Linked DNA regions of Drosophila melanogaster. The protein of the gene in region 2 interacts with the protein of the main gene of each other region in a pairwise test. Each region holds a gene or a part of one and is shown on either strand. Other genes may lie near its edges.

Region 1 (4,698 bases), 4.2 Mb from region 2:
ATCTTTTCCTTCACTTCTTTCGGGCTTTTTTTTCTCTCTTTTGGCAAATTAACAAGCCAGCAGGAGGGTGTGAGAAGAGGCAGTTCAGCATCCCTTTTAAACATTGATTTCCTGGCGCCTAGGTACATGGAGTATTTCTACACTACAAACAATTCGTAATATTTCTCAAGCTTATGTTTTGCCAAACCAAAACTTGTACAAAACTTGCCATCTTCGGGTGAATATTTTTCCCAGGTGTACAAATGTAATTGAAGCATCGAAGAAATCGCAATTCGCACGGACGCATTTCCTCGCAAAAGCAAACAACAAATAGATATATAAATATATATGTATATACACGTATATATGTATGTATATTTGTATATAAAAAAAAAGTGAAAGAGGCAGATTATATGGGCGGTGGTGAAAGCGTGGTGAAAAGTGGGCGCTGATGGAGATGAAGATACGACTGCTCCATTCAGCAGCTGTGAACGGTGAAAACCTTTTTGGCGCTAATTGCAATTACACGAAATATTATTTGCACACATTTTCAGCCAAAGCCGCAATCAGTGCGACAGAGAAGGTGCTTCTGCTAGAGAGAGCGAGAGAGAGAGAGAGAGAGAGAGAGAGAGCTATAGGCGGTCTGTGCGAAAATAAGCTAACAGTTTAATCAGTTGAACGAATGTTGAGCCAAATCCCAAGACCCCCAAAAAACGAAGGCCAATCGTCGGGATTATCGAGCAAGGAGTGGCCCAAATGAGTGCTCTTAATTTGAATGTAAGAATTTAATGAACTAAATGAACTGCCAGGAATAAATGTAAATAAATAAATAATCCAATAATAAAGATACGCCCCTGTTAACCTTTAACAACTAACTTATTTATGTAGCTCCATTTTTAAACCCTGATAGCTGACCTTTAGAATGCATAAATAGACAAATGTCAGGATCCATAATGGAATGCGAACCCTTTTACAGATTTATTTGCCCGCCTCATACATTTATTTGCGTACCCAAGTCAGCACCTGATACGCGAGTTGGTCCCCATTCACTCCGCCGCTGTCAAATTCAATTGCAGTTGCTATTCACAATTGTCTGGCATGTCGGCCGATAAGCCCACGGCATGGCACTCGGACCCCACCCCCCCTTAACCCCTTGACCCCTATTCAATCCCCTATCACACCCCCCCCCCCCCCCATTGGGCCCACAAACAGCGTGCAATAAATCAAACATCAAAGCGATGAGCCAACTTGAAATGGACTGCAAATTTATGCAGCGACAGCTCTCAGTGCCCCGATCCCAAAAAAACCCGATTCCCATTTGAATGGCAGATGGCGGAACAACAACAGCAGGAGTAAGCAAATCAAAGGTTGGCACACCCTGGAATTCATAAATAAAATTTAAGACCTTAAAAAAAAAACAGGCAAATTTAATATCAGGAAAGTTCAGGCATTTAACGGACAACGATAAATGTTAGTTTAAGCAATGTAAAGAAGAACGTTCCTTTTTTTTTTTTGGATAAACTAAAGGTATATTTTTTTACCTAATCCAGATATGTCAGTTATCCGTATGCAAATGAAAGTTTTCATTATAATTTGCCGTATACCTGTTTAGTTTATTTGCGCCTGTATACTATTTACATGCATGCGATAAAGTTAATTAAATGCAAAGTGGCAAACAGAATTTCATTCACATTTTTCCATCCTCATCGTGTCGTTGGAAAATATTGAAAAAACTTGAAGGAAAACAGAAAAACAAAAATGAATACGCAAACAGGAATACATTGTGGAAAACTCTATGCGAGAAATAGCAACACTATAAGATTTTGATTCATAACATTCTATGCAACTCGTTTTAAAGAGATATTTATACACTTCAAATAATTTTAAGAAATTTTTGTAAAAATATTTACGTGTATTTTTGAGCATTTGAAAATTTGTGTTGCCAGTGCAAGCGGTCAGCAGCACATATTGCAAAAGTTATGAACAGGAAATGAAACGGAAGCTGACAATATTCTCCAACGACGATGAAATAAAGGTGATTCAGCTAGACCATTTCCATTTCAAGCACTTTTTGACCAACTGTGGAGTTTTCTATTGGGGTGACTCGTTGATATCGCTAGCAGCTGGTTAATTGGCCCAGAATGTTTCACTATCATCGACAACTGTTTTTGGCTGGTTGTTTCTTTTTTGCCAAGGAATAAAAACCATCGTAGGGCGAAACTGGCCCAACAGAAGGGTTTGGAATGGCCGAAGAGAAGCATCGCATGTTGTTCCAAGACCAGGATCCCGGCCAGGATCTGCAGATAGAGCGACCCATGTCCTTGTCGCCATCGGAACCGCCGACCTACTATGATGCAATGCAAACGTTTACGATTCAGAATAATTTGGATTATTCCAACGATCGGCGAAGAACCCTTTTTGCAGAACCCCAACATCTAAGGTCCAGGGTGGAGGAAATGCCGATGCCGATGCCGATGTCCCAAACGAAAGACGAGGTGAGCGTACAATCGGAAGGATTAGCGGACAACAATAGCATCGATCATCGTGCAATGCCACCAGTGAGAAGTAAGTGCGATGGTAACTATGAACTGAACACTCATTCGATTGCATATTTTGAAATTGTGTATTGGCCAGATTTCTTTATCCTAAGCCCGCAACCCAAACTGGGTAGCCAGGCGATGGACATCGTGTGCCCAGCTTGTGGTCAACGGGGAGTCACCCGTTTGAAGAGGTCACCTAATGCTCGGACTAACCTTTGGGCCCTCTGCTTGTGCACTTTTGGGTGAGTTGGGTATTTAAATTAGTTTGAAAATTTTAACTAACTTTTAACCCAAAACGTTGTTAGCTTCAGAAGTGCTAAGTTTCAAGTACTTAACACTAAATATGAACAAAATGATGAGTAAACTTTCAAAAATCGTATGAAATAATGGAAATAGATAAAGTAACTTTCGATTTACATACCTCGAACTTTGATATACTCATATCCGTATATATGTATCTATGTTTTTGTTTTCAGTTGGTGCTGCTGCGCTTGCCTGTTTCCGTATCTATGGAATGGCTGCCGGACAACGAATCATTACTGCTCCGCCTGCGAGATCTTTCTGGGCGCACATTATCCGAGGAGCTGCTGCTGCTGCTGCTGCCGGCGGCGGTAGTCCGGAAATATCCTGCAGGATCGCAGCCGGAATCCGGCCGCTAATTGTGAAAGTTTTCCGTGTGTGCGAATAAAGCTGAGTGGGGCGGCACGCGCTTCTGACCGCAAGGACTTGGCGCTTATTCGCTTGTAATGAGTAACGCAGTGCCGGGCGCGACCGGAAATTGTGCGCCGTCAAATCGAATTGCCTACCTAAGCCCATCGTCCTTCGTCCTCAATCCGCAATCCACAATCCACAATCCTTTCAACATCGGACACCATACACCGATTACCATTGCCATGCTCTGTACTGAACTGCCCTGTCGCCCAAATGATGCATAACTGGCCTAAACAAATTGCCTCATCATCACTCCGTTTCGCACATCCTGCCAACGAGTGCTGGTTGTTGTGGATGCTGTTCGTTATTTGATACCCTGCAAAAAAAAGAAGAGAGTATTCAATTTAGATACAATTACTTAAATATAACAATAAAATTATAAATATGTCTAAGAAACTATTATGTAATTGGGCAAAAGGGCAAATGCAATCTTTTGCCAAGAACTTATATACCCGAAATCGAGAAGAGTGTCCCCAGAATTTGAACCATCCGCAGTTGTTTGGCCTCCAGTTGCGCTTTTTTGTTTTCGAGGTTTCTGCCTATTTCAGTGCTTTGCGCGGCTTTGTTCAATTTTTGGTACTGCAATTGGCCAGCGGTGGCAGCAAATTCAATTAGCGCCTCGTACGTTGCAGCCTTCAGCGCAACATGGCCTTCGACGAATGGGCCAAAAACCGTTACTGAAAGCCCAGCTATGGATGGATGGATTGACTAGGCCACAGCTGCGGGGCCGAGAAACAAAAGGACAGAGCTCGACAATTAGTCGGTTCACGGTGCCGCCAACAACAATAATGACCAAAAGAGCATTATGGCCGAGCTGGTGGAATAATGTGGAAGCTAAAACTCAATCGCATCAAGTATACGCCGCTTTGTCCACGCATCAGTTTATTATTGCTACTGCTGATGCTGGCGCCGTTGCTGTCGTAACAAACAATGATAATCAAAAACAACAATAATAATCATACTTATAATAAATACGTAATGGTATAACAATGAAAATGAGGTGCCAACGGCAGTCCGTCCCAATAAGTTGGCCACTTTAATTAGATCAGCTTTTGCTTCTGGCTGGTCTTCTGTTTTTGCGCCTGCCCATTAATGTCAGCAGTAAACAATGCGTATCATTGTGTTAATTCATTTTCCTATACATAAAAGCTACTACAGCTGCGTTTGCTGTGGACGGTGGACGGTTTTATTATTTAGGGGATTTTGTGCTTTAATTTATGATTTTCTTTAAGTAATATGTAATATTGAGTATTGCTATTGCCAAAATCTGTTTTTTCCAAAATTTCGTCATAGAATAATCCGTTTTTTGCAACAACTTTACAACTAATTGTTCAAATTTGGATTGTCATATCTCGTTTAACTCGTATTTAAATTTCCATTCAAAGTGTGTTTAAAAGCAGAATTTGTAATATTTTTCCATTTTTTGCTACTTTCAGACGTCAAATAATCAGTTTTTTTGCAACAACTT
Region 2 (5,675 bases):
TGATCGGCCATATTCTGTTCGGATTTATATAGTATTGTATATTATATATATATATATATAGTAATTGGAATGCTGTGCAATGTGCGATGCGCTCGCCAAGACGATCGTTGAATATGTGCGGACCGTGGAAAATGAACGGCTGCCTGGTCAGCTTTATGCCATGTTTTTAATAACGCTTCGAAACAAAAATAATATTTATGTTCCCGCCGCCGATGGTTGCGAAAAGTTACAAACAAATACGGGTTCAATGGGTTCAAATAGCATTGGAAAAGTTCCGGCGATAAGGCGCAGCTATCGCCAAGGCGAAGATTACGCCTGGATGCACCATGGCAACCACTCGAGAGGCGCTCCCCCGATTCCCTATTCCCGATCCACGATTAGATTGGCCAAATACCAGGGAAACCAAGTGACTTGGGTGCAATAACACGCCCATGATCGAAAATGCGACCCCCCATGGATGGGAGAGCGCGTCTATTTGCGATCCGCTTATCGTCAAGTGATTATCATCCGTCTGGGTCACCAGTTCAAGTCGCCGGACGACGATAAGGACACTGCCCCCCCTTTGCAGCTGACGCACTTCGGAAAGATCGGGAAACGTACGTATATAGTCGAAATGGAGAATATTGGCAGAAAATGGACAAGTTTATATGTATGTAGCTTCCTCCAGCAAATTACGTATCTCTAGTACCATTTTGTTGTTCAACGTTTCCAGCTGCTAACTAATAATCCCTGGAAGATTCTTCTATTTTCAACGCAGAAATGAATTGGACACGCAAAATTTTAGCTGCAAAAACTGGAAACTGGTGATTCCCACTAAATTGAATGCTAATTTCTGGCCACAAGTTGAGTGCAAAATGCATATACATATGTATGTATGTATATTTATATACAAATCTGCCCACACGAATGGGAAATTCGATTTAATGGCCAATGCCAGATTCTTTTTTTTTTTTGCGTTATCAGTTTAAATATTTAGACAAGTGCAAACGAGAATGACAACAACAATGCTCGATAGGGCGCAAACAGCCGAGAAATTCGAGTAGGCCCAAAAACGAGTTTCAGGCCGAGGTAGCGAATGTGAATCAAAAAGATTCAAACTTGGCGCATGGCGACGTTTTGAATACACTAACAGTACACTGATACAAATACGGTACATATATGTACATATGCTATAAGATCTCAATTAAACTACACATGTACATAGGTACTTAACAATGATACTACTATAAACAACACTTTCAGCGGATCGATGGCATGCCATCCACGTAGGGATAGTGCAGTGTGGGAACACATGGCTGAATGAAACGCATGAAGCACATGGCGATTAGCCGGGCATGCCAGGAGCCGCAAATGGAAGCGAAACACAAACTTTCTGAGCACCGCGATCACTGCAAGAATTAAAGGCAATCGAAATGCGAGTCCCCCAAATGGTTCAATTAGCCACACTTTTTCCACCCTCCCCTTCACTTTGCCTGGGACTTTCCCGGCGAACTCACCTTCAAAGTGCTCTGCTTGGAGTCCGAATATCGTCTGATCGCCGGTAAGAATGGCGTTGGTGATGGTTGTTTTTTGGCGGCGATGCGAGTTAAAGCTCCGCTAAGCTTTCCAGTCTCGAAGTTAACCGGGTTGCCAACTTTGGTGTTCAGGTCCCGACTAAGGCAAAACCGAAGCTTTTGTGTCAGTGTAGAGCGCGCCCGCTGCATGTCTTTGTAACTGTAATAAGCAGAATTTTATAGATTTTAGTGGATGTTTTTCAACAATCCTTGGTAATTATTAGTACTCACACGGCTGCGTTCGAATCGGAACTGCCGCAAAGTGAGAAGAGTCGCCGGCGCTGAGATGACGCCGCCGCTGGCTGATAAGCGATAACGATAACCCGTGACCCCTGACCGACCCAGTGATAAGTCCGCCCAAGAGTTCCGACCCGATCGCTGCGCTATCTCTTGGCCAGCATCCAAAATATTCGACACCGAAAATACAACGAAGCGAAAACACGCGTTACGTTGGTAAACAACATTTACCAGGCTAACAGATATCAGCTGTTTGGGTAGTTGGATCGCTGGATTTAGAAGCTTTTGGCGCCGTCTGGCAACGCTAGCGATAGCTACCAATTCTTGTATAAATATTTACAATTTGTGGAAATGTTAAGCGTGTGTGCCTCTTCAATTAATATTAACACTTTATTTTATATCATAATATGCGTTTCTCTCAATCCCTTAAAATGTACGTAGTTATCAAACGCGCGATAACGTTAAGGCATTTAAAGTACCCGCCAAATTGCTGGTACTGCGAACCGGTTTAAGTTGCCAACCGATTGGGAGAGTGCAACATCTCTCTCCAGCAACATTGCTGCCAGCCAAAGTCTATATAAGCAACAACGAAAGTTCAATTCTTTTCACTCAAAAATCCGTCTCCTCCGCGGTACGTTTCACTTCGCTGCGCCGCTAAAAGAAAATTCCTGGAAAATATTAACAAACACATGAGCCTAACATTCTTAACAATTCCAAAACAGAACATTTATTTTTGGTGAATTTCCTGACAATTTAGTGGTTAGTGTTTAATGTTAAAACATTGCTGTGCGCATTTACCGTTATCCGCTCGCAAGGCAAAAGAAAAAGCGCGCGTTTTGAATTCGCTGTTTCGCATTATTTTTTTTTATGTTAAAAAACAAAATATAGAAATGAAACAAAAATGGCAAGCCAGAAATTAAATGAATGAATGAATTTTTTTCGACACAATTCTGCTGCGTGTGCAATTCGATTCGAATAACAAAACAAAAAGCATAAAGGAAAAGTAAAAGAAATTCGAGGGGGGAAAAAAACGCCAAAAGAAAAGATAGCGCGAAAAGTCATAAAGAAAAGGTGAGAAAACAAATTATTTATTTCATGTGCTAAAAAGACACGCAAAACGAACGTCGTTTTATTTTTAGCCAAACAAAAGTTGTGTGTTATTTGTGCGATTTTCTGTTTTTGTTCGCCGCTCTCCCCTTGTTTTTTATCGTTTTTGTTTTTCAATCATATATTTTGTGCTTCTTTTTTTTTTTGCATGTTTTGTTTTGTGCGTGCTCTTTTTTGTTGAATGCAAAAAGGCGAACAAAATATTACGATAAAAATTCCGTTGTTCTCGCCGAAGGTTTCCGGGTTTGTTGACTTTGCCAGCTGAATATTCGAAATTGACATAAATAATAATCGCATGCAATTATTGTAAACAATTGTTTTTCGCTCAGGAAACGATTGGCGCTTTTTCTTCGCTTATTGTAATTGTTGCTGCCAACTAATCGCCAAGATAAAAATGAAAAAAGAGGGGAAAAAACCTACAGAGTTGCAAAAAATTAATTAAATTCATAGGCCAGTAATTTACATTTTTTGTGTGATTTTTTCGCTTTTTTTGTAGTTTTTGTCTAAGCTTGATAATTAGGGTTTTTTGCGGGCTGTTGTTTATCTGCTACAGTTGTACCCAAAATAATAGTCGATGCTTAAAAATGTTTACAAAAAATGTAAATTTTTGTGGCGCTTCAAATAGCTTTACTACGATTTCGAACACAATTGTATATCTTAAGTTTTGGGGCTATTTTTTGTGCTGGTTTTAAATTTTGGTTTATCGGTTTTTGTTATTTCTGTGGCTTTTAGTTTTCTTCTTCACCTGTTTAGCCTTATTTTTTGTTGTCGATTTCGGCTTATTTGTTTTTAGTTTTTTGTTGCACTATTTGAATGCGAGTTTTTTTGTTGTTGAGAGAGGCATTTCCGCCTTTATGGCAAAAGCAATTTACAATTTGCAATTTACTTTTCTCTCGTTTTTTTGCTGTATGGCAATTCATTTTTACAACTTTAATTATATGAACAAAAACTGCAAAACATGAACGGCAAAAATTAAAATTGCAAATCGCATTTGAGTGACGTCGCCGTCAACGTTTCTCCTTCCTTTTGTTTTTGTCGGCTGTTTTATTCGGTTTTTTGTTTTCACAGCGGCATTCGCCTGCGCAAAAAAAAATAAAACAGCGAATCAGTGTGTGGAAGATTGTGTGGAGGGGGGGCAGAGAGCGAGAGAGAGAGAGAGGAAGAGAGCGTATCAGGAGCGAATCTGGAAATTTTTGAACCAAGCTACCGATTTGCAAGAAGAACATGAAGTTAACAAAATATATAGGTTATTGAGCAACAAAATTACGTAAAACATTTAAGATATTTAATGGCACTTAACTCGAATATTTACCCCCTGATCCGGCCCTGGCTTCTGTGCGCTAGTGTTGGTGTGCGTGAGTGCTCTCTCTCTCGTTCGCTGCTCTCTGCTCCCCATCTTCATCGACCCCCCACCACCCGCCTTCGCCCCACTCACACACATTTCAATTACATGTGAAACGCGTGCTCCAAATTTCAAGTTCATTGTCCAAAAACAAATCAGAACAAAAGCGATAACAAACAAGCAAGCCAAAGGCAAAAAAACAAGGGCAGGTCAGCATCCGACGTGCCACGCCCCCAAATTTGGAATATATACATACATATATGCATATATGTTCATATACATACCTATGGACATAATTAATTAATTTATAAATGTGGGAGAAACGCTTAAATAAAGCCTAAAATTAGTCTAAAACTACAACGATTGATATTCCAACAAAACCAAATTCGAAATATAAAACATTTTCAAATCGATTTCGAATAAATGCATATTTACCTGGGCTTCGAGATTTGAAAGCTTTGCATCTAGATTTCATTATCATAAATTATTCGTAATATATGATATATCATGTAAAAAACTTTTGGGTATTCCCACAGTCGAGTCGAAATAAAGCCGTGAAGTATTTATAACAAAATCACACTTATTTTCGTGTTATTCCGCAACCAAATAAAAATTCTTTAGAAAAACAATGCGGCAGTAGGAAATAAAGCAAAAAACGACACAAATTTTGACACGAAATATTGTTTTTCGTGTGTGATTATTTTGTTGTTGTCATTTTTTGTCATACCAGCTTTAAGTTTAGTTTACTCTATGTGTTTATTTATTTTCATTTTGGTAGTTGGCAAATAAAATTCGCTTACGTAAATTTTGGGGTTGTTTATGTTTTGCGCACTATATATGAAAAATGATAACTATAATTTGCAATGCGTAAATAATGTTTGTCAAATGCCGACAAAGTTCCTTAAATCTATTCACAGCGTTTTCAATTTCAATTTCGCCGAAAAAGGGTTTGATTTTGCAACCATTTCTTTTTCATTGAGCTCCCCACTTTTTTTTTCCCTCATTCTCTGATATCAGCTCATATTTATAATTAAAAACAAACAATAAAAAACTGCACTGCAGACGGCAAATCGGAAAAATATAACAAAAAATAAAAAGAAAAGAAGCCATAAATATACACACATATGTGTATAAATATTTATATTTATATGAATTTGCGGGGCGAGACACTAAAAATAAAAAAACAAAACTAACGCTAGGCAAATTTCGCTGATAACTTTGAGAAGTGCTGAAAATACTGGGGCTCCAAAGGGAAAAAGAGTGTAGTAATAATAATTTAAAAAAAAGGTTGAAATCAATGCAATGCGAAGAGATAAAAACTATTTGCGTCGCATAAAGCCAAGCGAAACAATGGGAAATAATAGAGAAAATTTGAGAAAAATAATCGCCCTTCGAAAGTCGAGAATTCTTTGGCTCCCAGTTTCTTTCATTCGCTT

Evidence for each region. The genes of interacting proteins can lie anywhere in the genome.
Region 1: the proteins of CG3726 (region 2) and CG12645 interact in a two-hybrid assay, tested with the Drosophila melanogaster proteins (one large-scale study listed by BioGRID).

The regions. Positions count from the first base shown.
Region 1 is NC_004354.4:10,151,390-10,156,087, forward strand, and holds CG12645 (uncharacterized protein), read left to right. Parts: upstream 1-2,222; coding exon 2,223-2,556; intron 2,557-2,613; coding exon 2,614-2,761; intron 2,762-2,940; exon of another isoform or gene 2,941-2,995; coding exon 2,996-3,134; 3' UTR 3,135-3,620; downstream 3,621-4,698.
Region 2 is NC_004354.4:5,914,767-5,920,441, forward strand, and holds the start of CG3726 (uncharacterized protein), read left to right. Parts: upstream 1-2,330; 5' UTR 2,331-2,861; intron 2,862-5,675. Other genes in the region: Shmt (serine hydroxymethyl transferase), read right to left, coding at 1-14, 1,497-1,703.